Linked DNA regions of Arabidopsis thaliana. The protein of the gene in region 2 interacts with the protein of the main gene of each other region in a pairwise test. Each region holds a gene or a part of one and is shown on either strand. Other genes may lie near its edges.

Evidence for each region.
Region 1: the proteins of GT-1 (region 2) and AT4G18450 interact in a two-hybrid assay, tested with the Arabidopsis thaliana proteins (one large-scale study listed by BioGRID).
Region 3: the proteins of GT-1 (region 2) and MYB74 interact in a two-hybrid assay, tested with the Arabidopsis thaliana proteins (one large-scale study listed by BioGRID).
Region 4: the proteins of GT-1 (region 2) and FHA2 interact in a two-hybrid assay, tested with the Arabidopsis thaliana proteins (one large-scale study listed by BioGRID).

What each region holds. Positions count from the first base shown.
Region 1 is NC_003075.7:10,187,613-10,195,304, reverse strand, and holds AT4G18450 (Integrase-type DNA-binding superfamily protein), read left to right. Parts: upstream 1-4,052; 5' UTR 4,053-4,143; coding exon 4,144-5,055; 3' UTR 5,056-5,074; downstream 5,075-7,692. Other genes in the region: SNI1 (negative regulator of systemic acquired resistance (SNI1)), read right to left, coding at 1-66, 148-306, 423-488, 573-642, 708-778, 856-999, 1,078-1,127, 1,221-1,302 and 6 more; AT4G18440 (L-Aspartase-like family protein), read left to right, coding at 6,473-6,658, 6,746-6,898, 7,046-7,261, 7,355-7,537, 7,637-7,692.
Region 2 is NC_003070.9:4,610,696-4,619,576, reverse strand, and holds GT-1 (Homeodomain-like superfamily protein), read left to right. Parts: upstream 1-4,317; 5' UTR 4,318-4,461; coding exon 4,462-5,077; intron 5,078-5,340; coding exon 5,341-5,379; coding exon of another isoform or gene 5,380-5,414; intron 5,415-5,687; coding exon 5,688-5,822; coding exon of another isoform or gene 5,823-5,869; exon of another isoform or gene 5,870-6,060; coding exon 6,061-6,291; intron 6,292-6,378; coding exon 6,379-6,578; 3' UTR 6,579-6,846; downstream 6,847-8,881. Other genes in the region: AT1G13460 (Protein phosphatase 2A regulatory B subunit family protein), read right to left, coding at 1,397-1,711, 1,910-3,073.
Region 3 is NC_003075.7:2,614,538-2,622,479, reverse strand, and holds MYB74 (myb domain protein 74), read right to left. Parts: upstream 4,109-7,942; 5' UTR 3,924-4,108; coding exon 3,788-3,923; intron 3,696-3,787; coding exon 3,566-3,695; intron 3,399-3,565; coding exon 2,690-3,398; 3' UTR 2,533-2,689; downstream 1-2,532. Other genes in the region: AT4G05097 (uncharacterized protein), read right to left, coding at 7,917-7,942. UniProt on the Arabidopsis thaliana protein: Probable transcription factor that may function in salt stress response.
Region 4 is NC_003074.8:2,291,877-2,300,072, forward strand, and holds FHA2 (SMAD/FHA domain-containing protein), read left to right. Parts: upstream 1-6,009; 5' UTR 6,010-6,091; coding exon 6,092-6,686; intron 6,687-6,883; coding exon 6,884-7,041; intron 7,042-7,321; coding exon 7,322-7,531; 3' UTR 7,532-7,696; downstream 7,697-8,196. Other genes in the region: AT3G07200 (RING/U-box superfamily protein), read left to right, coding at 1-41, 129-347; AT3G07210 (uncharacterized protein), read right to left, coding at 1,124-2,504, 2,981-3,243; AT3G07230 (wound-responsive protein-like protein), read left to right, coding at 8,044-8,114. UniProt on the Arabidopsis thaliana protein: May play a role in the control of plant organ development and specifically in the regulation of stamen development. Does not show transactivation activity in yeast.

The DNA.
Region 1 (7,692 bases), on a different chromosome or scaffold from region 2:
GATGATACTACTGCATATCTCTGAAATAGAGTCTCCTTCGTGAGGGTCAGAGAATGTAAGCCGAGCCTGACGAATAGTTAAATACATTAGGAGGCCAAAAAAAGCTCTGAGAACGTGAAAGAAGAAACAAAGGTATTATTGTGTTACCAGAAAGGCATGGCCGATGAGGATCTGAACAATGTCAGGTCCTATCTTTTTAGTGATGTTCTTTGGATTTGTGCCATTTGAAAACGTCTTCAAGATCCCATTTAGTGTTTTCGAATCCTCTGCTTGAGGAACAGTTGTTCTTCGGGTACGTACAACAGGCTACAACATGAAAGAAATTTGGTCAGAGAGAGAAATCAGAGAAATAACTATATATTGTACATCATTTGTTGGAGAAGATAATCAGAGAGCGAGAGATCAGAGAATTAACAACAAACCTTAGGAATGTATTTAGTAAGGTATTGGAGAACAATCTCTAGCTTCCATTTAGGATCATCGAAAACCTGATTAAGAAATTTTCACTCAAGAACCACAGAGAGAAGAATTTTACAGACCACAGTGAGTTTCAGAAGTGGTTTGTCTCTTACCTGAAGAAATTTTGACAGCAAGTATCCATCATAAGTCAGCTCGTCGAGAATGATCTCCATTGCAGGGGTCCTGCATCAAATTGGATCACAAACATGGAGAAAACACAATTCAAAAGTGAGGCAGAAACTCATTACCTTACGCCATCTCCTCTAGAGGTAATCCCTTCTAAGTCAGCTTTCTTCTTTGATGTATCAAGCTCCATGATCTAAACAAGGAACAGAAACGTAAGAGCAAAAAGCTCCGAAAATTGAAACACTAATACTCTGGTAACCGAAAACTTACCATTACTAGAAGTTCTTTCATAGCAGTAAGCATGTCCTTGTGCAATTCTACCAAACTGATAGACTTTTCATCAGCATCAATGGATGCACACATTGTTGATAGATAATCTTTCATTAGAAGTTTGAAATTCACTTTTCTTGAAGCCTACAAGCAGAACCATAACATTAAAAATCACAAATAAATTACTATACTAGTTTCTGAGCCATTGATTGTGGGATGTACCAGAAGTAGATTCAGAAAAGATTCCTTTAAGAGACTCCAGTTCATAGTTTCTGGAGCACAAAAGGACACAAAAAGTTCTAAGAATTTCCCCAAACTTAACAAGATAAAGAGAAATCTTAAAACTATGAAGACATAATCTATACCTTCATACACTTGATTTCGGGGTGTGAAATCTAGCTTAAGAACATGAGCAAGATACTTGAACAGAAACATATTTCCAAGGATCTGCAGAAATCCAAACAAAAGAATCAAATAACAACAAGTTGTGTGAAAGTCTACCAATTTTTAAAGCTTATCTGCAACATAACAAATAAATCAACCTTTAAATCTGATTCCTCAGACTCATTAACTCTTTTGTTCATGTTCTGAATCAGCTGTTGCAAAACTGAAATCATAAAACAAACAAAAAATCATATTTAGCAAGAACCAACAAAAAGCTAACTCAAAAAGAGAAGACAAACGTCCTTACATAAGCTTCTCACTGATAAATCCTTTTCATCAGAATCAACATCAGACCCGAAATTAAACGGTGACCAAGCCTGCAAAACAAAACCATAAACAAACACATGAAATCAACCATCCCCACCATAACAAAGAATGAACAAAAACACATCAAAACTTTTGTAACAAGTACCTCGTCAACGATGTCCAACTGATCAGCTGAATCAGATACATAAACCCAAGGAAACCGCTGAAACAAAACATAATCATAATAAGCAAAACACTGAAACCTCATAAAAGTTATTGGACAAATTACACTACCAAAATCTTGCAACAAGTACCTGATGTAATTGAGTCAAAAGCTGGAAACTTGCTGTGATAAGTTCCAATGTTTTACCAAATCTCAATATCCTGAAAATCGCTTGGTACATTTTGCTTCAAAATTAAACAAAACCCAAATCAAAATCAGTACTCTTTTAGAGGTAAAAACTTCAAATTTCTTAGAAAAACAGAGTTTTTTATTTTTTACTTGGTTGGAGGAATTCCATTTTCGGGTACAAGTGAAGCAGCACGAACAGCTTCCAGATACTGCAAACCTAAGGTTTTTCATTCAAAGGATCAATACAATTAACAAAAACAAAGACGAAGATTGAAAATTGAGGAAACGTACGATCTTCGTTAGCGTCGCGACTGTCTTTAGCTCCGGTGGAATCAATCATAGCCAAGGTGTTAGCTTCCAAGCTACCGCCATAGCCACTCATCACTCTGCTTGTATTGTTATTACCCTTCGTCTCTTTCGACATCTTCTCTTTCACAATTTCACTAATTTCTTCTCAGCAGCACCAAAGAAGAAAACGAGAAGGAGAGATTGAAATCTTAATCCGAAATTAGAACGGAGAAAGATTTGTAGAAACCCTAATTCTCGACAGAAGTCAATTTTCCCGCCATAAGAGAATTGTTAGCAAAAAATAAATCACTTACTGGAATTTGAACCCGGCCCTCGAAGGTTAGAAGTTTGAACTTAGAACCAATAGAGACAATATTAGTTGGTTATAATAATTCATAAAAATATATATAATTTTTTTTTTGTAGTAAGTCTTCTTTTTCTTTAATACCGAGTGGTTCTGAATCAAAACTCAGAATACTTTCAGGCCCGAAATCATAACAGGTAATGTTAGTTCCGTTCCAAGCATCAATTAAAATCTTTTCTATATTGTAGTTTTTTTTTTAATCAATTTTGAAAATGCTTTTTGTGATTTGGATTCAGATTAAGTTTAGACTTGTGATTACAGAATTGGAAATTTTATACACATGACTTGTAGTGTGTTTATGAAGCTCGCTAGACTTATGAAGCTCTCGAGATTGAATACCAAAATTTAACAAATGACTACCTTAAGATAGAACCATTGCAACAATCTTTAATGCTCGAACAAAACACCTTTCTAATCGAAACGCTCTAGCACGCTTGGAGTCTCTCCAACACGAGACTTTCTTGAACTATATATGTGCCAAAGCAAGAAACTCTCGTAGTGGAGAACGAATGAATGAATCTTAAACGATTGATATAAAAATTAGCAGATAGTTTTTTAATATTAGCTGATACGTACTTGAGGTGACTTGAACCTACCATATAAAGTATCTCTAGCTCATTCTCTATAATACATTGAATAGAGATATTAATCTCTTTTTCATTTTTTTTCAATTGTAAGCTATGTTTCAAAGCGTGTGGAATTTATATATTCTATTCACCTCTCATCATTGTTTCAAATCTTTGGACTTACGGAAAATGATCTCATACAAATAATACTTGGATAAAAAGTTAGTGATGACTTAGCCCTTACATGTTTTTTCTTATTTCGTTTCACATTTTGATAGCGTTTAGTTATCATTATATTATATTCTCTAGGCAATATGCGTTAAACTGTGATCGTATGGTAAAATAATAACTTCTAACAAACTTAACTAAACACCGAAGAATTCTTTATCGATGTATGAAAAGCTAAATCAGTATTAAGGTTCATCAATCTAACAGTAGAAACAAGTCATTTAGAAGCTATATTTCTTTTTATAACCAAAAAAATAGTTAAAAAGTTTTTTAAAATGCGACGAGCGTGGAACGAAACATTAAAACAATAAACTTATGTTTGATTTAATAATCACAATTCTCCAAAACGGATTTGTGCCTCTGGTGGGAACACGTCATAGATTCTCATGAAGCGTTAAACTGAAGATTAATATGTTTATTATACAAAAGTGAATTAATACTCTGCATCTAGTCCTTTTCAAGAGTACACAATCTGCACTTTTTTAATGAAAATAGTACACAATCTTTATACTTCAAACTGAGGTAACATTATTAAATTAATTTATTGAAGTTGACTTAAGATGATCTATTCACATAATGGTACGTGTGTGTGTGTATACACAGAAAACCCCTGATTTTATGTGGAACCTAAAACCCTCCATGAAATGCGGTCAGTACCTTAGAACACAAGTTTCACCAACTGTACTTCCCAATTATCCTGCCGCAGATTTCCCATTCAACGTACACACAAAACCCCCAAAGCAACAATCTCTTTAAAATGCCCTAAATCTCACCAACACATACTCCTCTCTGATTCAACAATGGCTTTTGGCAATATCCAAGAACTAGACGGCGAGATCCTAAAGAACGTTTGGGCGAATTACATCGGAACACCACAAACCGATACAAGATCAATTCAAGTTCCAGAAGTTTCTAGAACTTGGGAAGCGTTGCCTACCCTTGATGACATACCAGAAGGTTCTAGAGAAATGCTTCAAAGCCTAGATATGTCGACGGAGGACCAGGAATGGACAGAGATTCTCGATGCTATTGCTTCTTTCCCAAACAAAACCAATCATGATCCATTAACCAACCCTACCATTGATTCATGTTCTTTGTCTTCTCGGGTTTCTTGCAAAACAAGAAAATACAGGGGAGTACGGAAGCGTCCGTGGGGGAAATTTGCAGCCGAAATCAGGGATTCGACGAGAAACGGTGTTAGGGTTTGGCTCGGAACGTTCCAAACTGCAGAGGAAGCAGCTATGGCTTACGATAAAGCCGCGGTTAGAATTAGAGGTACTCAAAAAGCTCACACAAATTTTCAGCTCGAAACAGTTATAAAAGCTATGGAAATGGATTGCAACCCAAACTACTACCGGATGAACAACTCAAATACGTCCGATCCATTAAGAAGCAGCCGCAAAATCGGATTGAGAACAGGAAAAGAGGCGGTTAAGGCTTATGATGAAGTCGTTGATGGGATGGTTGAAAACCATTGTGCCCTTAGCTATTGTTCAACTAAGGAGCACTCGGAGACTCGTGGTTTGCGTGGGAGTGAAGAAACTTGGTTCGATTTAAGAAAGAGACGAAGGAGTAATGAAGATTCTATGTGTCAAGAAGTTGAAATGCAGAAGACGGTTACTGGAGAAGAGACAGTATGTGATGTGTTTGGTTTGTTTGAGTTTGAGGATTTGGGAAGTGATTATTTGGAGACGTTATTATCTTCTTTTTGACAGAAATACATTGAAAACTACCGTTGCTAATTTGATAGGTATACATATATAGACATGTATATATTGTATAATTATATGTCAAGATTATTTATTTATTTTACATTTTTCACAAAAAAAAACGTTAATCTATTTTTCTGTCACAAGTGTGTTTTTATTCATACTACATACTACAACGCCAATTTAACATGCCAAATATAAAACATACATGGGCAAAGGCCCAACAGCCAGTTTAAAGAACTTTGTCTGAAGAGAAAGTTGTTGTATATATCACAAGGGATATGTGGTAATTGGGAAACATGTTGGGTTGACACGTGGGAAATTGAAGGAGATGGAGTTTCCGTCACTGGTAGAATCTTCTAACACTAGAGAGCTTCAATTCAGGTTGAAATCGTCAGAAAACTAATGCAGACGGTAGATCTCAATCTTCGCCCAAAAAAACTATTTAGCTTGATGAGAATAATTTCACTTAATTTAAATTTGTAATTTTTTTTCATTTTCTTTTTCAATAGACAACTTTTCAATTTTCAAGTTGCAGTTCATCAAACCGGAACAAAAGTTAGCCTATAATCGCCAAAGAGATAAACGGCGATACAATTAGAAATAAAGCCAGCCATCGACGCTATAGAGTTTTGGGATCAAGGTTAAGCTACTTTATCCACCTTGATCTCATTCAATCTCTAAAAGCTAAATGAGTTTCGATTTAGGAATTTTGTCTATTTTCAATCGATAAAACGACATCGTAGTGTACAGTAAACTAATATCGTTTAGACATAACAGAGAAAACTAACAAAAAATTAACACCGTAATTTTTTTTTGTGAATCTACTTATCATCATATCTAAATAGTAAAATGTTTACATTTAGTCATTTAACGCCACCATTGAGACCGCCGCTTGTTAACCCATTTCTAATCTTATACATGACATATAATTGTACTAACTAACCTCAAATGGTATTAATAAACAGTTTTTGGTTCATTTCAGTTATATCAGTATATGACAAACTCTTAGTGAGATATAAATCTACACATAAAACACATGAGTATTGTTTTGTCATTGTCCAAACATTTTTGATTCACAATACGACGATTTATAAATTATTAAAGTTTCCCTCCAAATTATTTTGAAGGCATTTTTAATCCATATATTTGAAACTATTAATAAACGTGTTCAAAATAAAGGATAAGGTGATAAGTAACAAATAATCCTCCTCCAATAAGCGTAATAAGTAGGGACATCAAGGGTAAATATGGAAGAAAGAAAAAAAATGCACATGTGTTTTTTTTTAATCGGAATCTCCTAAAACCCTATATATCGGCGGTACAGTTACGCAAAGCTTCCAGTGACTCACTCACATCGTGCTTTGATTCTGGAATCTAGGTTTAAAGTTTAGACCTTTGAGATCACACTATATCAAAAATGGAGCTCAATTTCTCTTCAATGGCTATAACACACCCCAAAATCCCTTCTTTCGGTTTTACACCCACCGGAATATTCCTAAACCCATCAAAATCAGTGTGTTTGGCTTCACATCATCGGCTTCCGAGAGTTTCATGCTCTGTTTCTACTACTACTGATTCTCCCAAGCTAGTGACTTCAACAAAGGTAAGTTTTTTATTTGTGGGTTTTGCTGAAATGATGTGTTGTTTGGATGTTTTCGATAAGAATTGGCGATAAATTGATATGCTTTAGGTGACGGCAATGGATGGAGTGAGCTCTAGAGACTTGGAGATGTCGAATTTAACGGCGTTATCGCCTTTGGATGGACGTTATTGGAGTAAAGTTAAGGACTTGGCTTCTTCTTTGAGCGAGTTTGGATTGATCTATTTCCGAGTTTTTGTCGAGGTAAGTGAAGGGTTATGATCTGATTGGTTGATTGATTGAGAAGATTGTACTAGTTATGTCATGCTATATCTCTTTGTACGAGTAGTTTAGTTGTCTGGTCTAGTGTACTCATTTGCCTAAACTTTGATATTTTTATATATTTGTTAGATCAAATGGCTTCTTAAGCTTTCGAATATTCCTGAAGTCACTGAAGTTCCAAGCTTTAGCAAAGAAGCTCAGAGTTTCTTGCAAGGCATAATCGATGGATTTAGCATAGACGATGCATTGGAAATTAAGAAGATTGAGAGAGTAACAAATCATGATGTGAAAGCAGTGGAGTATTTCTTGAAACAAAAGTGTGAATCACAACCAGAGATTGCTAAGGTTTAGGTTCTTTTCTCTCACTTATAAGTTCTTAGGGTTTGGATGCTTTGATGCCCTGTAACTAAAATTTTGGATGTCTTTTTACTGAGTTAGGTTCTTGAGTTTTTCCATTTCGCTTGCACGTCTGAGGACATCAACAATCTTTCCCATGCTTTGATGCTTCAAGAAGCACTTAGTTCGGTTATACTTCCTACCATGGATGAGCTGATCAAGTCAATCTCTCTGATAGCTAAGAACTTTGCTTATGTCCCCATGCTTTCACGAACTCATGGGCAGGTAATGTCCAAAGAGAAGACCTTCACCATTTTACCTTTCCCTATTTATCTGTATCTATCTCTTTACTAATGATTTTGTTTACTATGAATTGTAATGCAGCCAGCTACGCCAACAACTTTGGGGAAAGAAATGGCGAATTTTGCTGTGAGGTTAAG
Region 2 (8,881 bases):
TGAGAAGAGATTTTTTCCAACTTAAATTCTAAGAAATAATTTTTGTATATGAAAAAATCCTCGTCATATATTTTCATATTGATTGTAAATGTGAGGTGTTCGGTTTTAGGGCAAATGCTTGGAGATACTTGCTCCAAGGCACATAATATTTGACGATCAAACCCCTAGTCATATTCATTTCCTCTGCAATGAGATAAATATTTTCTCTCTTGTATTTGGCTGCAGCCACAAGTAGTTTTGCGTCTCTCTCGAACTCTTTTCAACCCTTCGATTTCACCATGTTTCTGATTTCACAAATGAAATCGATGAGGAAATGAAAAGATATGGGTGGTTTATATAGAACACGTACCGACACAAACAAAATTAACTTCAAGTTTAAGCTCCAACCTTCACTTTTACTAAATTGAAGCTATGATTATACTATAAGTTGTGGTAGTTTTAATTAGTTTTTGGATTTTAAAAGCAAGTTCTATTTCCACGCAATTTCCTAACATTTTACTTTGTCCTCAAAGATAGTTTCTTTTAACCTCAAGTTAACCATTCTATCAAGGAATACCGTGTGATGACAATGCAATAATCACTTAACTCTATGTTGGTGATGTTAGTTGTAATCTCGTAGCTAACGCAATTAATTTTTCATGTTGGCCTAAACTTTTTTTTCTAACGCTAATAAAAATAAAATTCTTTTCATATATTTTCATATTTGCTTTTGATGAATTAATTGTTATTTGATAAATTAATATGAATCAAAAGATTTGTCATATAGACAAAAACAGAATGAAAAACAACTTAAACTCTAAGTTTTGGGTTTGGACTTTGGACTATACTATAAGTTGTGGGGTTTTGAATATTTTTGGATTTTGCAATAAGAAAAGAAATTAAATAAGATGATGAATTGTTTTAGATTGTTACTGAGTTTTTTGTTTTGTTTTTTGTTCTGTCAAATACCAAAGTGATCATGATTGAGAATGGTTAAAATCTTCCAAAAACTATAGCCTCTCAACTTTAGAGGAAAATCACTTTAAAAAAAAAAACTTGAATCGGTAAGAATGAGTTTCTCAAAAACAAAAACCATTACAAAATCTAGCGAACCTTCAACAAACAAGATCATACTCTTCAATTTAAAACTATCTTTCTTATGGAAGAGGTGTTCCTTATTTCCATATCTCATATCTAAAACTAAAACCTTGCTTACTCTGCTGTATAATTTGGAACCCATTAGCAAGCTTTAGAAAACAACGATCTTTAATATTTGCAATCTCTTCAAAGAAAACGAATCTGAAACTTTTTTCTCACTAAGTTTTTCTGGAGAGTAAGAAAAACAAACCCAATTTTCCAATGTAGTAAAAAACGAGAAAATACAGAACAAAACCTCTGTCTCTACAACTAAAACATCTTACAATGAACTCTTTTGCTTTTGATTACCAATTTCTTCCAACCGTTTCCACGTTGCCTCACGTTTTGCGCCAATTTCAGCTTCTTTTGATTCATCTTCTCTAAACTTAGCAAGACAATCCTTAAACAACTCTGCATCAATGTCATTAAAGATCTTCTGCACATTCAACGTCAAGCTATGAACAGCTTGGTTCCAATGCTTCTGAGTGTTTCTCTCCAATGCAGGGAATATGATTGGAAGAATAACTTTCCGGTTCTGCATTATTAGATTCTCGATATGATCGTTGTTCCATAAGAACAAAGCTCTTTCTGCAACCTGCAAAACAAAATAAAAAAAGTCTCAACCTTTTTGTTCTTTCTTGAGCTTGCTTATACAAAGATTCAAGCTTTCGAAATAATCACAAAGCTTTGTTCTTATGGATTCAATCAAAATATCACGCATTTCAATCTTGTAAGAATTGTTCCCATCATTCATGATTCACAGAATTAGCAAACCAAAGGAAAATACAATTACCTGAAAATGGAGACTGTTCAAACACCGAGCAACTTGGCGAAACAATGGGACCATACACCGTTGGAATTCAGGTGGTTGAGTTGCTTCTAATACTTCCTCTAGCTCGTTTAGAAACATGACTTCTTTGGAACTATTTGTGACAGGCCAAGACTTGAGTAGTCCCCTTATAACCGTATCAGCGAGTTTGCAATCTTTTTCCACAAACTGTGTGATACAATAAGACAATTGCTGATGATACATTTGCAAGCTTTTCGGTTTGTGAAGAGGTACCAAAGCTCTAACCAAAAACACTTTATGCTCGTCTTTAAGCGGCAGAGCAAATCCATTGATGATACTTCCCAAAATCTCTAGAAACTCAGCAATCCCATTGTGTTTCTCAGTCTCGAAAACAAACCGATAGAAAATGTTATTAATGGATTTCCTTATGAAAGGACGATGAACCATAAATTTACCGTAGATGCGATGTAGAACGGTCTTAAGACAATCTCTTTCTCTAGGATCCTCTGAATCAAATAAATCAAGTAACCTTGAGACAAAAGATTGGTCAATGTATTTCTTAGCCAGCTTGGTGTCTGTCTCTGGTGAAGCAATAAGCCGCAGGAGAATTTCATAGACAAGCTGCAAGTGAGGCCAAGTAGGATCCATAGAAGGCTCTTCTTCCTCCAAGTCTAACGCATCAATAACTTTATTCTCGCGCGGTTGAGGATTCAAGGTTCTGAATATGTTAACAGAAACCATTCTAACCACTTCTTGAATCACAGTTTCACTAAACTTTCCATTAGGAGAAGCTACATAATCCACAAGCTCAAGCAATGTCTGCCGCTTAATATCCTTTTCCTTAACGTTCTTCGTTGGATCCGAGAAATCGAAAACAACACAGCACAAGCTGAGTTTTCTCACAAACAAGTTCTGTTTCTCTGCATTAGGAACATCTTTGAAACCTGGCAATGCTTCATATGGAGTGAAACCGTTACCATTTCCTTTCAAATTCCCTTCTTTAAACCCTGAATCAGCAGAAGGTTTTACAGGAGGAGCGTTCTGGGTTTGAGAATTACCCGATTTACTGGCGCCATTATCACTACTTTTTGAAGTGGAACTAGATGAAGAAGAATGGTTCTTAGAAGAAGACTTCTTAGGAAGCTTACTCAGAATCTGTTTCCACATAGTGTATTAAACTCAGATTCTTCTTTGTTCATATCCCCAAAACAAACATCTAGAAGAACAATTTCATCAACTCCATCTGAATAACAGAACAAAAAAACAAGAAAAACAGATTAAGAACCTGAAATATTGAAGATATGATACTAAAACACACACAAAGTTAGTTATATCAAGAACCTGAAATGGAGATAAATCCCAAAATTTACCAAATTTATTACAACAAAACCATTTTTTCTTCTTCTTTATTCACTCACGAAACTCAGAAACAGAAAAAAATCACCACTACAAACCATAAAAATCGAAACTTTCGATTCTGATTCTGAAACAAACGCAATCACAAAATCAAAAATCAAGAGAAATCGCACATTACAACACCTCCGATTGCACAAAACAAAGGTCAAAAGTAGGAAAAAAAAAACGATGAATAATGAAATAAAAAAAGCTTACAAAAATTCACATTCAAGTTCTTCTTCCAAAAAAAAACCTCCTTCGATGTTGTTGATTGACTTTGAAATTAAGAATTTGTACCCTTTAGATTTGGCTCAAATCATTGCGAATTGTTGTTATTGTTCTTGATTTTGGTTTTCTTTCTTCTTCTTTGAGATTTGTGACTTCTCGTGATCCAGTTATCTATCATTCTCTCTTCTCCTCCGATGGCTGATCAAACTTTTTTTTCTCAATTCTATTTTAATTTAATTTTAATTGTTTTTTTATTCCCCTTTATTTTAATATTGTTTTTTTTTGTGTGTGTGTTCGGTCTGGCCTGCCAGGTCCACTCCTCCCTCACTTGAATTAGTAATTTTTACAGAATTTTCAAGCTGACAACACTTCAAAATGTTTTAAAATTCCAGATTTTAATTGCCGACCGTAACACTATTATACGACATAGTTTTGAATGTATGTAATAAAATCGGTTATATTGGTTTGGTTTTTCGGTTCAATCTTTCTTGTGTTTAATACAAACTTAATTTCGGTTTATGGTTTTAGTTATTGTTTTGTTCCAAAGAAGAGTGTCTCATTTCTTTTTTGACATTTTCTCCCTTCGAATCTTTGATGCATTTGGTCTTATGGATGCACACAAGATGTAAGTTATATATCAGATGCCAAGGTGATGAAGTTTGATGCATCAAGATACAAACATCACATGCTAATATTTGCAATAACAGATTGACATTACAAAGTTTATATGGCAAAAACATTCAAACCAATTTATATAACCAAAACTTTAAATTTGTAATTATCCTTATCCAAAACCAAATCTCTAGACTAAGATAGAGAAAACCTAACTTAAAGTTAAAACCTTTTTTTTCATTTTGTTCTGAGGGGGCTTTTGTGTTGACGGTGGTGGGAACAAAGGAACATCGTATCCATTCTGTCCGGGAAACACAGCAATGTTCATTTCCGACAAATCTCGTCCTACTGATTTCTACAAAGACGATCATCACAATTCCTCCACCACCAGCACCACACGCGATATGATGATCGATGTACTCACCACTACCAACGAATCAGTAGATCTACAATCTCACCACCACCACAATCACCACAATCATCATCTCCACCAATCTCAGCCACAACAACAGATTCTCCTCGGAGAAAGCAGTGGAGAAGATCACGAAGTTAAAGCACCAAAGAAACGAGCGGAGACATGGGTTCAAGACGAAACTCGTAGCTTAATCATGTTCCGTAGAGGTATGGATGGTTTATTCAATACATCCAAATCTAATAAACATCTCTGGGAACAGATTTCGTCTAAGATGAGAGAAAAAGGGTTTGATCGATCTCCGACTATGTGTACTGATAAATGGAGGAATCTGTTGAAAGAGTTTAAGAAAGCTAAGCATCATGATAGAGGAAATGGATCGGCGAAGATGTCGTATTACAAAGAGATTGAAGATATTCTTAGAGAGAGGAGCAAAAAAGTGACACCACCACAGTATAATAAGAGCCCTAATACACCACCTACATCAGCCAAAGTTGATTCCTTTATGCAATTTACTGATAAAGGTATAAACTTTGGCATCAATTGTAGATTTCTTGATTTGGATTCAGAGAACGTAACTGTGATTATGGTTTTTGTTGCTACTATTTGGGAAAATTCTTATCTGTATCTTAGGCTGAGAAGATACTACATTTTAGAGTAGGTTTCTTATTGTGGTTTTTCAGTTATCTTTAAAGAAGATGATAGTTTTGGTAAATGAATCTGCGTATGTGGATTTTGTGCCTTTAATTTTCTTTTGGCTAAGTGGTAATTTTATCTTTCATTGTAGGTTTTGATGATACGAGCATTTCTTTTGGATCCGTTGAAGGTACTTATCTATCACTATTAGTTTGTTTATTATAGTATCTTGCTATGTATACAAAGAGACGAGCTTTTGTTTGTCTACTGCCTCTTGAAGTTGTCTTTTAAGTTGGTCGAAAACATCTCCCTGAGTGAGCAATAGTAGAGGTATGAACTTGCTTAGTGAAGTGAACATTTGGGACTGAAACAAATAGTAAACATGACTGTGCCGTAGAATTCACAGGCAGTTTCTGTGTTAGATGGTTTAGTTTTGTTTCTAGAGGATGTGTGTGTGTGTGTGTATGTTTGAAAAGTGTATATATATCTATGTTTCAGCTAATGGCAGGCCAGCCTTAAACCTTGAAAGGCGTCTTGATCATGATGGTCATCCTCTTGCAATCACTACAGCAGTTGATGCTGTTGCAGCAAATGGAGTTACTCCTTGGAATTGGAGAGAGACTCCTGGAAACGGCAAGTCCTCAGAAAAAGCTTATATAAACTTAAGCCTCAAAGTTTAATTTTCTATAAGGCTAAAGATATGTTTTTTGAACTGTATGTTTATGTTCCAAGCATGGTGTAATATGTGTAAGAATCCACGTTTTCTCATTTTGAGGTTGCTTCACAGCCTCTGCTCCTCTGCTTGATTTATTCGTTCGGTCTCTTTATAACTGAGTAGAGCTTTTCATTTGTTTCATGTTTATACAAGCAGGTGATGATAGTCATGGTCAGCCTTTTGGTGGTAGGGTCATAACAGTGAAATTTGGTGACTATACAAGAAGAATCGGTGTTGATGGTAGTGCAGAAGCAATCAAAGAGGTAATCAGATCTGCTTTTGGGTTAAGAACTCGAAGGGCTTTTTGGTTAGAAGATGAAGATCAGATTATTCGCTGTCTTGACCGAGACATGCCCTTAGGGAACTATCTACTCCGTCTGGATGATGGTAAGATTAAATTTGCCACTATTCGTATCTTTTGAACTGTGTGTGTGTTTTTTACTGAATTGTCAGTATGCAAAACCCATCTTGCAGGACTGGCCATTAGGGTTTGCCATTATGATGAATCCAACCAATTACCAGTCCATTCAGAAGAGAAAATCTTCTACACTGAAGAAGACTACCGCGAGTTTCTGGCTCGACAGGGATGGTCAAGCCTGCAAGTTGATGGTTTTAGGAACATAGAAAACATGGATGATCTTCAACCTGGTGCTGTGTATCGAGGTGTGAGATGAGGAAATGAGATCACAAAACTTCTTCTCCAATTCTATCAACAGTTATCTGATCAGAAAACAGTCCCCTGTAGATATGATCTCATTCTCTTTATACATTTCTTCTTTTTTTCATGTACTTGCTCAAATATGAAATATCATAACTGGCATTTACCGTACAGACCAAGAAGACCTCAAAATAGATTTTTGGTCTGTTACATTTGTAAGAACAGAACATAAGAGAAGTGAATAAATTGTTCACAATCAGACGAGCGAGTGTTTGTGTGTGGTATCAGAGTCATTCTTCATCCCTTTTATTGTTCTTGTATGAAATGAGTGTGTTCGACCTTGTCAATCTGCAAAGCCAGAGAAACTTTCTGAACTTATACTACTGAGAAAACACTATAATGATTTGATTAACAAACACTAGTATCAAAGAATGTAATTCAACCACTCTCTTGATCCAGGTGAACGGTACAGCCACATCGGTATCAGTAAATGCTCCCAACACAACAAACACACCTTATCCAACCGCCAAGCCGATTAATGTCTCTCTCTCTTACATGTTTCATGGAGACAAGGCAAGCAAGTTATGCTGGAAGCAACTTGTCTCATTATAGCTTGAATCTCCCTCGTGATCTCCTTATTACTTTTCTCCTTTGAGACAGCGTGAAAAGGAGGAAGACAGAATCAAGACAGCATAAACATCACAAACATACAAATGAAACTGAGTTAATTGAAATGTTTATGCATAAATAAACCAACTTCTAGATCTTAAATATCACGTAAGTGGAATAACATTGGTTATAAGCAGATCATCAGGATAAGATTCCAATAGTTAAAGTTTTGCGTCAATAATTGTTTTTGTCGAGAAGGTTTGCATCAATTATTGCATCTTTCTTTCTATCTTTTTTTTTCTTTCTCTTAGAATCGAATTTTAACATATACTTTGATAATGATATATTGTGGTTCTTTTCACTTCACGATTACTTTAGAACATTGTGAATAATGACACTTCAAAATAAAAGGGATAAGATCAGAAATAACATATGAAAATTCCACAAAATCACTACAAATAATTCAGATAATGAAAAAAATACATGTACGTTATGTTATAAAATTCTCAAATATGGTTTTCAGCAAAAATAAATTTGGTTTTTTACTACAAAGTACAAACCAAAGTAAATTGATTTTACAAAGAAAAACGAATTAGAAAATCGTTTTTAAATCATAGAACTTATTCAGTCGAAGAGAATGGCTGACACTTGACGGGTCAGTTATAACTTATAAGTGGACTCTTGGAAATGATCATGAGTTATAGAAAGATCACAAACTTCAATTTATGATATATTGTTGACCTCAGATAATATTTTAGCTATTTATTGGATGTATAAAGATCCATATGAATACCAAAAGAAGGAGTTTTATAACCATTCACCTAACAAAAATGAAATGGAAAAAGAAAAGAGAGCAAATAAGAGGAGGAGAAGAAGAAGACTTTTGGCAAAAGCCAAGAGTCATACCTATTAGTCTATTACATAAGGTGTGATGTTTTTTTTTGCTGTCACATTCCATCTGACCTACCAAAGCTCTCAAAGTGGAGCATCTATTGTGTCTTGGTATAGAGTCACGATTAGATAAATATACAACACCATATGTACTTGTGTCAAATTATAAATATTTGAAACAGTAAGCAACCAGTAATTCGATAAAGACGTCTACAAGCATCTACACATCTAAATTGATTAAAACAAAACACCTTTAAATATAGTGTTTATGAAGTCAAATCTTCACCTTGATTATTCTAAAACAATGGTTGGAGTAATGTTGCTGAATGTTGAGTGAGAATTGACATTTGAGAGTAACTTTCACTATAATGAACTGGATGATAAAGTTGATCCGATAATAATTGAATTTACCATGAATGGTATCACAAGATACATGTATAGAAGACAGTGGTGTTACTTGTTACGCAAAATTAAAAAATGAGCATACTATTGCAGTTACTTTGGATTTATTAAGGAAAATTATGGTTTGACAACAACAATAATACAAAATCTTATGAAAATTAAATAAAAAGAAAAACAAATTTGGCTATTGGCAAAGCTCATTGGCTGTCAAAAGGAATATATACAAAATCTGCTACGTTGCAGTCTTGCGTGCACCGGCCCAGCCCATAGGATTAGAGTATTAAACCTCGAATATTCCATCAGCCTGCGCGTGAATCCAAGCGCCATTAGTTTCCCCAAATCAGTTCTTAATCCTACCCATAAACGATGGGTAAAAATGGTAAATAAGAAAGAAAGTAAAGTACAATATAGTAATAT
Region 3 (7,942 bases), on a different chromosome or scaffold from region 2:
ACAATTATTATCATATTAATTTATCGTTTGTGTCACTTTTTACACTGGTTCCAACTTAAGACCGGAAAAATTTATTAATTTATAGAAGTTATTAATTTATAGAGTATTAATTTATAGAGGTTATACTGTATAATATTAAAAGTTGGCCAATAACAATTAAGGAAATTATTTTTAAGGGTGCCTAAAACATATGAAAGATTTTAATTTTTCTTGTTAAAACTTGCTAATAATTTATTGTTATAAGCTTTTATTATAGTCTCTTATTATAGTCCTGGAAATTTGATGTTTAGAAAAAAGTATACTATGACGACAGTGTTTTAAAGTTTCCAAAAAAATCGATAAAAATCTCGCTCAAACTGAAAATCGTGATGAATAGTGACATTTGACAAGTTTCAACATTCAGTAAAAATTGCTAACAAAAGATATTAAAAATAAAATCAAATGTGGTAACATTGTAAATATATGCTAACATAATCCTATACTATTATTGGGAAATACATAATAAAATAACCATATTTTTTGTAAGTAATTACATAGGTATGCAATTAAAAATAAAATTTCAAAGAGTAAAATAATTCATCTTTTTAAATATTAAAAAGTCAAATACTAATTTAATTAATTAAATTTAATTAAAAAACAAAATACATTTTTAATTTCTAAAAAAGTAACCAATCAAAATCAACATATAAGATTTGATATCCAAATTTTAATTAATTTAATTTAATTAGACAAACGAAATACATTATTAATTTCCAAAAAAAATAACTAATTAAAATCAACAAATTAGATTTGATATCTAAATTATCATATTAATTTTTTATTAATTATTATAGTTCATCTCTCATCTTTATATGATTCTATTTTTGCGAAAAAATAATATTATTGTTATAAAAGAATAATTAGCTTTTCGCATGTGCCATGATTTATATTTTTAAAAACGAATATAAACTGTTCAATACATGAAAAAATATTATAACAGGTCAAAAATAGATTTTAGAAAACTTTCTACTAAGTAACGGGTTATAATTTAAATATTTATATTCAATTTCATACATATTATTTTGAAAATTTATAATCTTATATACTATAATAATTAATAACATATTAGATTTTTTTATGTGTATGATGTGATTCAATTTTTAATACAAGCTTGAAAATCTTAGAATTGACGGGTTTAAATCAATATTAATACAAGATGGTAATTATAGGTGAAACTCTAAAATTAACAATTAAATACAAGTGTATAATCTTAAATACTGAACAATATAAATAATATCAACAAAAATATACAACTAGCAGTTTACTATACATTTAAAATCCATAAAATAATATTATATATTTATAAATCACTTTTACAATAAAAAATTTTAGTTTAACTAAAATATAAGAGTATCTACGGTATACCGCACGTTTATATCTAATTACGTATATATAAAAAAGAAACAACTCAACTAACCCACTTACGTTTCCGTCAATTCAAAAATAAAACTATATATTTTACCAAAAAAAAGTAAAGAAAAAAAAAAGTAAAACTAGATATATACAATTTATTCTAGTTGCAAATTAAGCATTCAAAATTGGCAAGATATGTAATTGTTTAATTTCGTTAAGACTCTTAGCATTAAAACCAAAGAAAATAATATGAAATTTCTCTTACTAAACAAGTTTTTATTTAATGAAAAAAACAAGGTTTATTTAATTACCACAATAATTTATTCTTATAAAAAATGTTGACTCTATACGTAATAAAAGATCCACTGGAAAAACCGAACAAGGGGTCAAAACAAACAGCTCATCCCAAAAAATGCCGACGTTCGTGTTTACACATGCTGCTTTGTCCCCACGCGTCCCCACTCTCAGTTGGCTCTCCGTACAACACGTGTTAAAGGTGATTAATTAACACAAACCGTGATTTCAATTAAAACGAGCTTTTTCTTTCAACTTTTTCCTTACGTTTTCCACTTATTGCTTTCGTGTCGTACAAGTGGCGTCTGGTCATTAGATTGTGTCCCGTGATCTGACCCCAATTGCACACGTACGCTACCATACCACGTGTACTTCTAGTTCACGCTCCGGCCAGTCTCGCCGGATTCCGGTTAGTAAATTCGTAAGACTTCTCTGGTGGTCAAAATAGAAAGTTTTTCGTGCATTTTGATTGGTTCTAGTGAAATTGTGCAAATTTTTGATTGACTTAATGGCCCACTTCCATTTCAAAACATTTGTTATTAGTATTGTTTTGGTTCATAAATTATCATTAGTTTATTTCTTCAGAGAAACAAGAGATAATAAGTCAATGATATAATTATTCACTATCAATTATTTATCTACCTTTCTATTTCGATAACATTTCAGCACCATGTATGATATCAATTATAGTATATATCTTCGAATCATATTTTAATATGATCGTTGATACGATCTCCATGCATTTATGTAGAAGAAAAGCCGACCACAAATATTAAACAAAAGAGTAGATAGATACCAATAATAGAAACTCCATCATTAAAACAATGTTATGAGCTGAGCTTTATATTGTTTACTGGTGGGATGTTGCTTTCCCCTTGACGAATATACTTTAGTAATAAATATTTTAAAACTATAGTATTTTGGATTTTGGATATGTAACAAAATCTATATAACAAATACAATGATTGCATGTTTACATAACTCTATTCCAATGGCGTTTTGTTTATTGGAATTGGAGAAAACCATTAACATCAAACGAATAATTAGTGATATTATCACTGTAATAACTCTCTTTTTCATCCTCGGTGCTGCAAGTGCTACTATTGATGTAAGTTGAGGAACTTGAGTTTAACGGAGTCGGGCTTGAAGAAGGTGTGGTCAAGACTGAAGCAAAGTCGGAGTAATAAGGTTCTAATACAAAATTGGACTTCGAACAATCATCATCGTATGACAATGAATTTTGGACCGTCGTCTTCATTGGCATGAGGTCTTGGAAATTCGTGAATTGATCCATGATAGGGAACCAAGATTGTAATTCTTCATTACCAGGCATGTTGTAACCGGTTTGGTATTGGTTTACTTCGGTTTGGTTAACCGTGTTGTTCTCGTGTGTGTTGTTGGGGTGGTTTTGGTTTGAAAAGAGAGAGGTTGCGAGTTTGAGTATCTCGGGGTTAACCAATGGTTGATGATTACCATCACTCATCATGAGCCTCGACATGTTCATATGTTGTTGATGATGATGATGATGATGATGCGAAGAGTTGTAGATAGATGAGCTGAGAATGGAGGAGATATCGAGAAGATCAAGACGTGGAGTGTGTGTAACCGGGTCGATTCCCATCTTTAGAAGTCTTTTTCTGATGTGAGTGTTCCAATAGTTTTTGATCTCGTTGTCTGTTCTTCCAGGCAAACGAGCCGCAATCGCAGACCACCTATACGAAAGCAAACAAAGTTAGAATCTGATGCATTGTAGATTTAACATAAATCACTAGTAACATCATTCAAAGCTATGACTCTAAGACTAATCTACAAGATTAGTAGTTTTCGTATAAACTACGTAATGGCAAAAATATAAAATTATTGAAAAGTTCAAACTCACTTGTTTCCCATGATGCTGTGAAGTTGAATAATGGTTTCTTCTTCTTCAAAAGAGAATCTTCCACGCTTAATATCTGGTCGGAGATAGTTGGTCCACCGGAGACGACAACTCTTACCACATCTTTGTAACCCTATAGTCAAGATTCAAGCAAAACTTTAAAAAGACAATTCACGAATAAAAAAAGTATGATTAAAATGTAATAATGAAGATACGTATACTAACCAGCATTCTTGGGAAGAGTTCTCCAATTTCCATAACCATGTATATTGATATAATCAATGAGCTTTTGATCCTCCTCAGGAGTCCATGGTCCTTTCTTGAGACCATTCTTCTTCTCACAACATGGTGATCGTCCCATCTTTTTGATTAATTGTTAACCGATCGATGAAGTCAAATGTTTTTAAAAAAATATAGTGATTGAATTATGAGGAAACAGAGAGTAGAGAGAAAGAGAGAGACGTAGGGTCCTTAAAGAGAGGTACGAAATATATATAGGAAAGAGATGAGACTCTTATCATATGGGGAAAAAAGGTGAAGTCAAATTGATTCGGTGCCGTCCTCTGTTCATCGATTGGGCTACGTGTCCTTTATAATCCCAAAATTTGTTTTTTCCAAAAAGTTTTTTTTGGATGTATACATACTATATATTAATGTTTTTTCCTACACCTTATTGTGAATTATGATAATGGCTAAAACTCTAGTAACAAAGCTGGCCACTAAATAACTTAATTTGGTTTTTGTTTGTAAGTATTTTTGTAAGTCATTTATGTTTTAAGTTAATTATAACTATGCATGCATGTGAATCTAGTGTGACACTTCGGTACAAATCTTGTAATTTGGGTAACCAAAAATATTTTTCATAACTTAGATAGTATAGAAACCATTTATACATTCTTCTTGTTGATTTTTTTTTTTTTTTTGAATATCAAGAGATTCTGGATCGAAGCATTTCTCTAGGCCTGAAACCATAGCATGTAATTTTTGTTCCAAGCGTCACTCAAATAGACATCTCTAAGCTTTGCCTAAATTTTTTACCAATTGAGCTAACGACACTTGATTCTTCTCGTTGATATTAATAAGAAAAATATCGTCAATCCAACTAATACCCTAGTTTCGAGTGATATGTTTCAAATTAACTATTTTTAATTGATTAGGAGTTTCATAATTTATAAGAGTCTCTATAATAGTATATAGTCTATTCAACTAGAAAATTGATAAATTCTGTTTTAATATTGTTAATAAAGACGGTAGACAAATGTACGTATGATATGAAACACGTGATTTTGGGGAGTTTTGTAGTGTTAAACACTGTATAGATTAATGTATAAACTTGTGTGATGATACTTAAGACTTAACTAATCAATTGATAAATATGATAATTAACAATGCAATCACAATCTAAAGAGACATGGACGTCGTCGAGGAGTGTCGCTCTCCGTAGCTTTTGGCTGTTTTCACATTAGCTGTCGCCAAAGTTATGATGCCACGTACTCTCTCTTTCCTCACAATTCAACCCTTCTGCTTTGTTTTTTCCTTTGGACTTTTTTGCAAAAACAAAACATATACAATGGATAAAATTTGTAAAACTATCAGAATACTGTTTGGTAACATAACTTTTAAAATTAATTTTGATTTTTACGTGAAAAGTATTTAACAAATTAACGCAGGTTCACACACACCAAGTTTTATAAAAGATTCTGGATTCATCTAATATCAAATTTTAAATAAATAACATATTTTCGTATAATAGTTTTTTTTGGGTAAATTTCAATAAAAACTACAATTGCAATTTTTATTAATGTTATAAAAACGACATTACCAACCTATAAATTCGTGAGTTTGATGTATAAGAAAATAGATAAATAAATGTTCAAGTATTAAATACATACACAGCAAATTTAGCTGTTCCTCTCTGTCTCTCTCTCTATCCCATCAAACTTTCTCAAGAAAAAAATGAAGACCAATCTTTTGGACTTATTAGCTTTTTCTACGTGAGATTTTGAATACATGATTGTGAATTTGTGATGCTTCCAAATTCCATTTGAAATTTTTGATTTTGAGTTATATATATATATATATATATCTTATTATTCATTGGGTGGCTTTATAATCATTTTGAAGTAAATATAAATGTGAGAAGAAAATTGATTGATACATTTTGCATGGCGTGACGTCAGATAGATTATCACTCTTATAGGAACCACGAGTTGTGCAACTCATCTTCCCTTTCGTGTTTCGACACTTTACATTTAATTACAACTAATAAAAATGGATTTTATTAACTAATTAAGTACTTTTTTGATCTCCTAAGAATTTGAATATATGAGTAGCTAAAACTCTAGAACAAACTAATTATAGTTAATGAATATTTGGATTCTATATTATTGGCGCATATGGCCTTATTATATATGCATAGTTTCAGGCAAACAAAAATTCATTCGAATATTCCAACAAACAAAAGCATCCAAGTAATAAAAATACATAAACAAAAGCAGCTAGTTTATAGACAAAATCTTCAAATAATCAGGAAGGACGACGATATAGATTGGTGATTAATATATTAGTAGTGATCGAATCATTGTCACATTTATGCTATTATAATACTATAGTTAAATATAAGTACATTAGGTTAATGTCTCGTTCCTTGCGGTTCAAGAATCTGTCGGGTTTAACGACAAATGAAAACTCCGCAAAGTGCGAAATTATGTGAATGAATAAGTATATTAGTTGATAAGAAAAAGGAGAATAAAATTTCATCACTTTATCAAATAAATAAATAAAAGAATACAGGATTAAAATAACTAAAAAAAAAAATTAGAAGATAGCTAGTGATGCTATATTAGGGTAGTAACTTGTCAAACATCTAGAGGCTTTGCTTGCGCATGAATTTGCCACAAAGAGCAGCAGCCTACGTGTTACTAGTTACTACATAGTTGACCATATCTTATTTGTTGATAATGTTTGAGCCTTTTCATGAATTAAATATGTTTCATGGATATTGGATCTGTATATCACTATGGATAAATCACTTAGAGCTCGATTGATTTAAACGTAATAGAAACATGTGCAATTGCAATTGCAAGAATTTGCAAAAACAGATGGGTTTTCACACATTTTGGATCTAAATTTATAGAAACATACGTGACTTCGTATATGTGAATCAAATTGAAGATATATTTGTAGGTCAATTTTCACTTTCTAGGTAATAATAGTACAAAAATTTATTAATTTAGAGAGGTATTAATTTATCGATAAATTAATAATTATTAATTTATGGAGAGATTTTAAAAAATTTGTAATTTTTTACAAAAATTTAATCCAAAAGGTAGTTCCTCTCTACAATCAATAATTTTTCTAAAAATCAATTACAAGTATAAAACCATTATTAGGTTTAAAAAAAAAATCTTTTTTATACGTAGTAAAATTATTAGAATTGAATTTTACAAAGAATTAATATAAATTGAAGAAAAACAATACTAAAGTCATATTTTACTAAGTTTTACATAATATATATTCATAAATATAAATATATATATATATATATATATTCATAAATTTATACAATTATTAATTTATAATATTGATGGGACCATATATTTACATAAAATTTTCAAAATAATTATTATCTTATTAATTTATCGATTTGTATCAATTTTTATAGTGGTCCCAACTCGGGACCGGAAGAATTTATTAATTTATAGAGGTTATTAATTTATCGAGTATTAATTTATAGAGGTTTTACTGTATGTGGGCAATAATAGTATGTAGCCACATACTATATATATATATATACACGATACTTGCCTAATTTTTCTTAATATAAAATATGATTGATTAGTATGTATGTTAAAATAAATCGAGTCACGTACGTAGAGATTATCGTCGCATTATTCCAGATTTTGATACGTCAGAAACGAGCCATTTGAATTCTAAATAGTTGAAAGACAAAGACCAAGAGTCCACACACACATACGTAATTATGTATATAACATTTATTTATGTATAGAAAATTACAATACATATGCGAGTGCGATACGATATCGGAATTAATAGTTGTGGAGTTGATGTGCCACATAGTAAAGTAGCTATATCTATATAGAATATTTGAATTATTAAACTTAGTGGTTTCTATTCTTGGAGGTTTCATAATAGAGGTGTGTTAATGATATTAAAATAACGAAATAGAATTTAGCTCTGGTAGTTGGATTTGAATCCGTACAACTCTGGGAGTTGGATTTGGAAGCGGTTGAGTAAGCTTCGTAGTCTGGCGAGACTTTTTTTGGTGTGTGAAGTGGGTTTGGCTATTACGGCTAGTTTCTGGTACGATAATTAGACTGGTTTGGGTTCTCTTTTAAATCTCACGAGTCCTTTGGGTCT
Region 4 (8,196 bases), on a different chromosome or scaffold from region 2:
CTGATCAAACTAGTGTTGACTCAGTTGAGCTTAACAAGCCGGTAAGAGATGTGGGTGGGGTTTTCTTTTCTTTTCTTAAAGTTTTGCTGTTTGGAGTTTGGCTCACCAAGTTTCATTTTCTTGTTCAGAGAAAGTCCAAGGCTGTGGCTCCTCCTGTAGAGGAACCAAAATTTAGCTGTCCAATCTGTCTGTGTCCATTTACTCAGGAGGTTTCAACGAAATGTGGTCATATTTTCTGCAAAAAGTGCATAAAGAATGCGTTATCCCTCCAAGCTAAATGCCCGACATGTAGGAAAAAAATCACTGTTAAGGACCTTATCCGGGTCTTCCTTCCAACCACCAGATGAATGATACAGAAACATCACTAGTAGCCATGTAAGTCTAGCTAATGAGATTTGTTTTTTTCTGCTGAATTCTAAAAATTGCGCCGTTCAGATCCTTTTCTTTCTCTTCTCTTGCAGGGATAGTGGTCTAGCGATTCTACCTCCAACGATGAAGAAATGTTGTTCATTAGTTGTAGTTTGTTATGTCAATATTGTTCTGTTTTGTAAGAGAAATATCTAGGAATTATGGAAGACCTGATTTTCTAATGGATATCGTTCATTGGTGATCTTCATTATTTGAGTAGTTCCTTATTGCTTAGTGATTGTTGAGATATTTTAGGAGATATTGTTGAATCTTAAGAAAAAGCATTCTACATCATAACTCATAAGCCTCTGTATGCATGTTCTCTCTCAAGTTCACTAGAAGGCAGTAATGGCATCTGCACATTTTTCTGTTGGTCCACAGTTACCTCTTATGAAAAGATTATTCTTTTGGTATCATTCCCATGAAATCATTGCTGTGCAGATCAAAGAACACATCCAACAGTCATGGCCCAATCTATGTTCTGATAGCAAAAACGAAAATACTTTTTTACTTCCAGGAACTCAAAATCAATGATTGCTTTAAGGGCTTAAACCCGATCGATTCAAGATTCTATGTTTCCTATTTGTTGTTTTCTTCAATATGTCTGCACAAGAGTTAAAATAAAATTGGTTATACAAGAATGAGAGATATCGAAATCTAAACAAAGATGTCTCTCTTTCTATGAAGGTGGCTCTTTCTCCGGTCTGTATCGACCTTAGAACGCCCATCTTGGTGAAGAACTAACAGCTCTAGGTCTAGGTACCGGTTTGATAATCTGTTGCTCTGAACTATTAATCCTTTTCTTCATGATAGATGAGACCGTTGGGCTGTAATAGTCATTACTCCTCTGTGACATTGCTCCTTGTGAATGCATCTTCTTCCCATGGACGAAGCTTCTCTGTTTCTCCAGCATTTCTCTTCTACCATTCAAACTCTTCTGAGGAGTTCCCCATCTGCTGGAGCTCACACAGCTTTGACTCCTTCCAACTCTCTCATGATGAAACTCGCTTTTTCTTGGAGGAGTTGGGTAGTTTCGGCTTTCTGCTGTTTCTGCAGAATACATTGTCTCTTCCTCGCTGCTGTATCCATGATTGTTATATACATAGTGAGCTGCTGCTGGCGGTGAACTTGAGATGACCTCACTGAGAGCACCATTTACTGAACCTGTCGAAGCAATCTGCGCATCTGATCCTTCAGAGACAATCTCAGCCTCTTCCACTATATGGTTACTCTGTAGAGAGTTGAGCTCAGGATGAAAGGTTATAGCTTTAGGTATCCGTGGAGGAAAGTTGATGTCCAAAAGGTGTACTTGAGCTGTCTCATTTCTTAGAGGACCAGAAGTCAACTTTGGCGATTCATATATCTCAGGGGTAGGGATACCCTGCGCATGAGTAGTAGTTCCGCAGACTTGTGGATTGGTTTTTGAGGTTTCTTCTTCTTTTTCTTCCTCAGCAGCGATAGAAGAGCTCGGATGAGTTTGATCTCTAGTGTTAGATGAAGATGGTGTTCCAACATCAGCAGAGTCGTTTGGCTTGAAAACACGGCGCATGGTGAATGAAGTACAAGAACGCTCACTCTTCTGACCAGAAGACATTAATCGAATGAGAGGCAACTTAGGTTTCGTCGTATGTTCATCCAAACTACCTTCCCAATGCTGATTCAGCCAGTCACATATTACTGGTATTGGTATACCAAACTGCATCATCAGTGTCTTGTTGTTATCTTTCTTCAAAGAAGAAGAGGAAGATGACGAGGTTGAGGTTGGTGATGTCGATAGTTTCCTCGGATCACAAATCATGAATGCAAGATTCCCTTGAACATCAAATCCAGCAGATCCAGGACTCCAAATCATTTCATCAGTTGAGAGTTTGATGAGATTGTCGGTAGCTACAACTAACTTTCCCTCGCCGATCTTGAGTTCATTCTGATTGGCATAGCCTAAGAGGTACACCACACTCCCTAGATCCAGGTTTGGTTTGGAACATGTCTTCAGGTAATGTGGTTGTTGTTGAAGTTGGCTCTGGGAACTTGAGTCTCCATCAACAAGGTCTAAGCCAACAATAGTGAGATCAATAACTGAACTCGTAATGAAAAACCTGCAAATGACACCATATAAAGATAACACTCATTTTCTGATAGCTAAAGAACAGAAAACACCATCATTGACCAAACAAATCCACAATTCAGATTGGTTCTTATTATGTTTGATGCAATCAAGACGTTTCCATTTTGGGAAATATCTGAACAAATGAATTTTCATGTTCCAATAATCACAAAATGATATATCAATGTTTTGGTTTAAAGTTTATGAAATTAAAATGAAAACTTACCAAATTCAGCTACAGATCCAGAATCATTACCATATAACATAAGTACAGTATAAAGCTCTTTTCTTTTAAGTTCTTTTGGTTTGACGAAAAGATATGGATTCATTTTTGAAAATTTGAACAAGAGCCAATTTTTTTGATGGCATTGCATCAAAATTTACCAGGATCGTGCAACCGACAACACAGGAAAATGAAAAATCAAATTTTGAATCAAACTCAAGAGAGAGTAAAGAGAGAGGTGGGACCTGTGAGGGAAGAGAGCAGCAGCGACACCGTTCTGAAGGCGGACCTCGGCGGTTTCGGTGGCGGAGATGGAAGGAAGATTGAGGTGAGTGGTCAGAAGAAGATTCCGGTGAATGAGGAATCCAGTTCCAGAAGTAACACCATTTGGTCCGGAGACAGAGATTCGAGCCATCGCCGGAGCTTTGCCGGTAAAAATGGAACCTTTCATCTTCTCGCTTTTGCCAACTCCTTTACAAAAGCACCATGAGTCCAATATCACTCCCATTGTCTCTCTATCTCTTGATTATGCTCTCAGATGGGTTTTGTGTCAAATTCCCTAATTTGGCAATCTGGGTTTTGGAGGAGAGTGTTTTGGATCTGAAAAGGATGGGAATTTAGGAGAGAAGTGTGAATTGGATGCGAGTTAGTAATAATGGGATTAGGGAGACACAACACATGTATGTGTCTGTGTCTGTTTGTGCTGTAAAAACATCAACTTTCTCCGGATTTGGTCTCGATGAAGACCCAAGAATGGGAGAAAACTCGAGAAGAGGTAAGTGAGAGAGAAACAAGAGACAGGGGAATCGTGAAATGAGTAAAGAGATGTGCTTCTTTAAGGAGCTAGCTGGGGACTTCTTCTTCTTCTTTTATCACTTTTATTTTTTTCTTTAATTCAAAAGAAAATGTATAAAGATTGGGGGAAATGTTTTCTTTATTTGGTTTAAGTGTGTCATTTTGTAAGAAGAAGCAAACAGAGGAAAAGTCTAGAGTGACAGAGAGGATCTTTGTACATGTGATGAACATGGATGGACTTTTTGCTTATTATGATTAGTGTTTTTTGCTTAACGTTTTCTTTGCTTGTCGATTTGTCTAATCATGGTTTCATTAACTTATATCTCTCTTTGTTATCAAATAGATTTGGTCATTTAACCAAATTGTAATGTATATGATTACCAGTTTTAACCATCTCGGCAAAAATGTAAAATTAAAACGACATTTCCATTTCAGAAATCTAGCTTATAATAAACTTGGAATAGTTACATGTTGTTAGATTGGTTCAGTTATGGTTGCAAGTCAATTTATTATCACTTATCAGCATTCAAGTCCAACTTTTTACTTCAAAACAAACAAAACTAGAAAATCCAATTCAATCAATTTTATTGGAGCATTTAAGTTAATCTCAAGTAGTTTAAACTTGAAAGAGTTGGATTCACAACTTATTGTATACACGAGAAAAAATGTAACAAACGATATTCCAAAAAAAAAAGTCAATTAAAGTGAACTTATCAGAATAACATTGTTCTTCATCATGTTTAAAACCCCAAAACAAAATCCAATTGCAAACACCGGTTTCTCAATGTACATCTCTCAAAAAAACATAGTAAACGACTGTACATAATGAAAATGGGAACTCTTTCTATGAACCATCGAAGACTCCAAGTATTCTATTACACTGGTTAGGGAGTTGAAAAGAAGTAAACCATAATGTGTCAAATCCGATCCAACATCAATTCCGTTAGCGCTTAAGAAGTCTTTTTGCATCTGCAATATCCTGCAATATAACAATAGCACCAAAACAAACTAGTACATAATCAACATTAACAACAGCTAGGAGCAAAAGCACTAGTCAAGAACTTAATTTAACCTTAATTAACAATTCGAGTTAACAAAGAAAGAAAAGAGTACTGAAAGTACCCGCTGCAGAAAAACTGCTTCTTTAGGAGAGGTAGGGAACTGCACTAAACCGATTCCAACAATTAATAGCAAAGGACACTACAACGTATATAGGTAGCTGGTGCAAAGATATACATTATTAATATTGACTAACTGAGAATAGCAATAAGCAAAAATGAGCACAACAGACTCATTACTAACCAACTATGTTTGGCTACGAGCCATAATTGCAGCCTGCAAGAGAGCAAACTAAAAGGCAGAGACAGCTACCAGCAGGCTCAAAATCTTGACCACATGCTTCATTGTCCTTGAAACAAAGTTTATGTAAGATTTGAGTATTGACAATATACCAGAAAAGAGGACTACACTAATGCATTTTCCGATTTCTTGCATATTTGGAGCTGACCATGAACGGGTGCCATTAAAGGATATCTATAGAAGTGAATTCCTTCAAATAACAAATTGCCAATTCTAAATCCATTACGCATAATTTCCACACATCTTAAGCAACTTATGTCCAGACCAGAATCTAGCATAGTCATGATAACTAAAAGAACAGTAAAATGCAACCCAAACCATCAAAATGGGAAAGGAAAAAAAAACGACTTTTCACATTTTCTTGGATCTCATAATACAAGCGGTCAGGAGCTCAAAGCCCTTTAAGCATAATTTGTAGAACCTGAATCTTAAAAAAAAAAAGAAACACAAATACATGATTTCCCACCGTTCCTCAGGATTTTAAACATTCTATAGTCAGATCCTCAGGAAATCAAAGCCATTACACAACACATTTCAGAACATTATAGGCTAAATGATTTGAAAACTTGAATCCTAAAATTCATTAAGCTGCCCCAAAACCAAGCTTCTACTAACAAAACAAACTACAATTAACCATCCGAATCAAACCATGCACCCAAAACTCGAATTGAAATTTGATATATCTAACAATGATTGAGCTGCCATCAGAATGAATTATTAGAAAATAATTTTGTCACGGTTCCTTCAGACCAGAGTAAACTCCAATCATCCGAAACTCAAAACCCTTGCGCAAAATTTTCAATCATCATTTGGCAACTTATTCAATCAAACCAACAACGAAAATAAACAAAAGGTTACATAAAACTAACCAAGCCTATGTTCTAAAGCAAACGAAATCAAAAAATTCAAACAATCAATAAGATGCTCCACTATTTGCGGGAGAGATGGAACCTTTAAGCTCACAGATCTCGCCGCCATTCTCAATGTTTCTTCGGCTGTTTTAAATAGTTGTGTCATTAGGGTTTTTATTCAGGTCTTAAAATCATGGGTATAATCGTCAATTTCACAAAATAAGCCTTTGTCCTGGATAAGCTAAACCAGTTTCCAAACAAATCTTGCTTCGATTCACAAATTATTACGATTGCAATCCCTAATTTGGAAGTCCCGGTTCCTCTTTCGATCAAATCGGAGAATTTCACGGCATGGCTACGGCTGTTGGTGGCGGAAGCGATGTGGAGGTTGGATTTGCGAAGCTTCAAGGTGAGGATTTCGAGTACTATATGCAGTCTTACTCCATTATACTCGGCCGGAATTCTAAGAAAGCCACCGTCGACGTTGATCTCTCATCCCTCGGCGGTGGGATGAACATCTCGCGCAACCACGCTCGGATCTTCTATGACTTCACTAGACGACGCTTCTCTCTCGAGGTCCTTGGCAAAAATGGCTGCCTCGTTGAAGGTGTTCTTCATCTCCCTGGGAATCCTAACGTCAAGCTCGATTCACAAGACCTTTTGCAGATCGGAGACAAAGAGTTCTACTTTCTCCTACCGGTTCGGAGCATCTTAGGCGGGCCGTTGGGACCTAGGCACCACGTCTCTGGGCAAACAAGTGTTGTTCCATACCATAATTATCAGTCGGGTCCAGGTTCTGGGTCGGGTAAGAAGGGCGTCAGGAGTAGAGAGTTGTATGAGTACGATGATGAAGATGATGATGACGACGACGATGAGGAGGACGATATGAGAGGAAGTGGAAAGAAAACAAGGAGAGATGGACATGAAGTAGTATATGCTTCCGGAGGTAAAACCAGATTGCTCATGATTGTTTGAGTTTTCATTGTGCAACTAGATATGTTTCAGATTATGATGCTTACTTGATCACATCAGGCTTGTTTCTTTAGACTTTGATTGTGGTGGTTGCTGATTGAACCTTGTTAGACTTGGATTGAATTTGAATGCTAGTGACACCACGACATTGTATCTGCTTCATTTGTGCAGAGAAGAAGAGAGAGGGAAGATCAAAGGTAGATCGTGAAGCTGATGATCAACAATTTTTGCAGCTGGAGGAAAAAGATGTTGTATCGTCTGTTGCCACTGTGCTTTCCGATTTGTGTGGTCCGGGAGAGTGGATGCCTATGGAAAAACTTCATTCGGTGGTTAGTTTTTATGAGAAAGTTCCTTGCCTTTTTCTAATACAGAATGTAGTACGAGTAATCAATTGAAACAAGACTTGTATAATGTCAAGGTGATAATTAGTGTGAAGCTAGGTCCTTAATTAGTTTTCCAATGGAAACGCGCTACGCTACTTATATGTGTCTAAGTCTAGAAAGTATGTCAGTTACTCCATAGATTTTGAATGACTAGTGTAGTCTGACTATGAACTTCTTTGTGATTCAATATGATGGCTAATGCATGGTAGTGGTTGGTCTGTGACAGATATTAAAGGAGTATGGAAACGTATGGCATCACAGTCGAGTAAGAAGATACCTATCACAAGAAGACTGGGCTATCCCTGAAGCAAAAGGTAAACCATGGTACGGTTTGCTGATGCTGCTGAGAAAATACCCGGAGCATTTCGTCATCAACACGAGATCAAAGGGAAGAGTTACCCTTGAATTCGTTTCCCTCGTTACCCTACTCTCATGAGAACTTTACCTTAGTGACTCGGATTAAGATTTAAGAAGCTTTTCTCTCTTTTCTTTGTTTCATATGTAAAATATTTTGGCATTGATTAGTAACACGCTGTGTCGTTTTTCTGCACCCAAAAACGCCAACTTCTTGGTCCTTGCAGTTGAGAGATTTTGATTTTCTTTTTCTTGATTCTTATTTTTGATAAACCCATCGAGATTTTTCTTTCATCAAAGGGCAAAAAATTCGTGCCAATTCAGAAATCGTTATGTTCGGTGGATTTGGGCCATAAAAAGAGAAAAGGCCGAAACAGAGAATGATCCAAAGTGGCTCAAGTACGTATCCAGACAATATAAAAAGGTTGGAATGTGCAAACTTAGGGTTATACTCGTATCTTGTAGCAGCCACTAAAGCAAAATTCTGAGATCGAAAAAGCTATATAAAAAAAAAAAACTGCTTCCGTTTCATCGATTTTGTCCAGATCTTCCCCTTCTTCCGGTAATCGAAGCTTACGAGATAGTTGAGTGAAGATGATCTATGATGTGAACTCTGGTCTATTCAGATCCTTCCTGAGCCAGAAGGGTAGCTCGTCCGACAAAAGGTACAAAATCTTGTCTTGTCTGATCCAAATATGAGATTATCTCGATGTTGTTCCCAGATCTATCTATTGATGTGTCATTCTT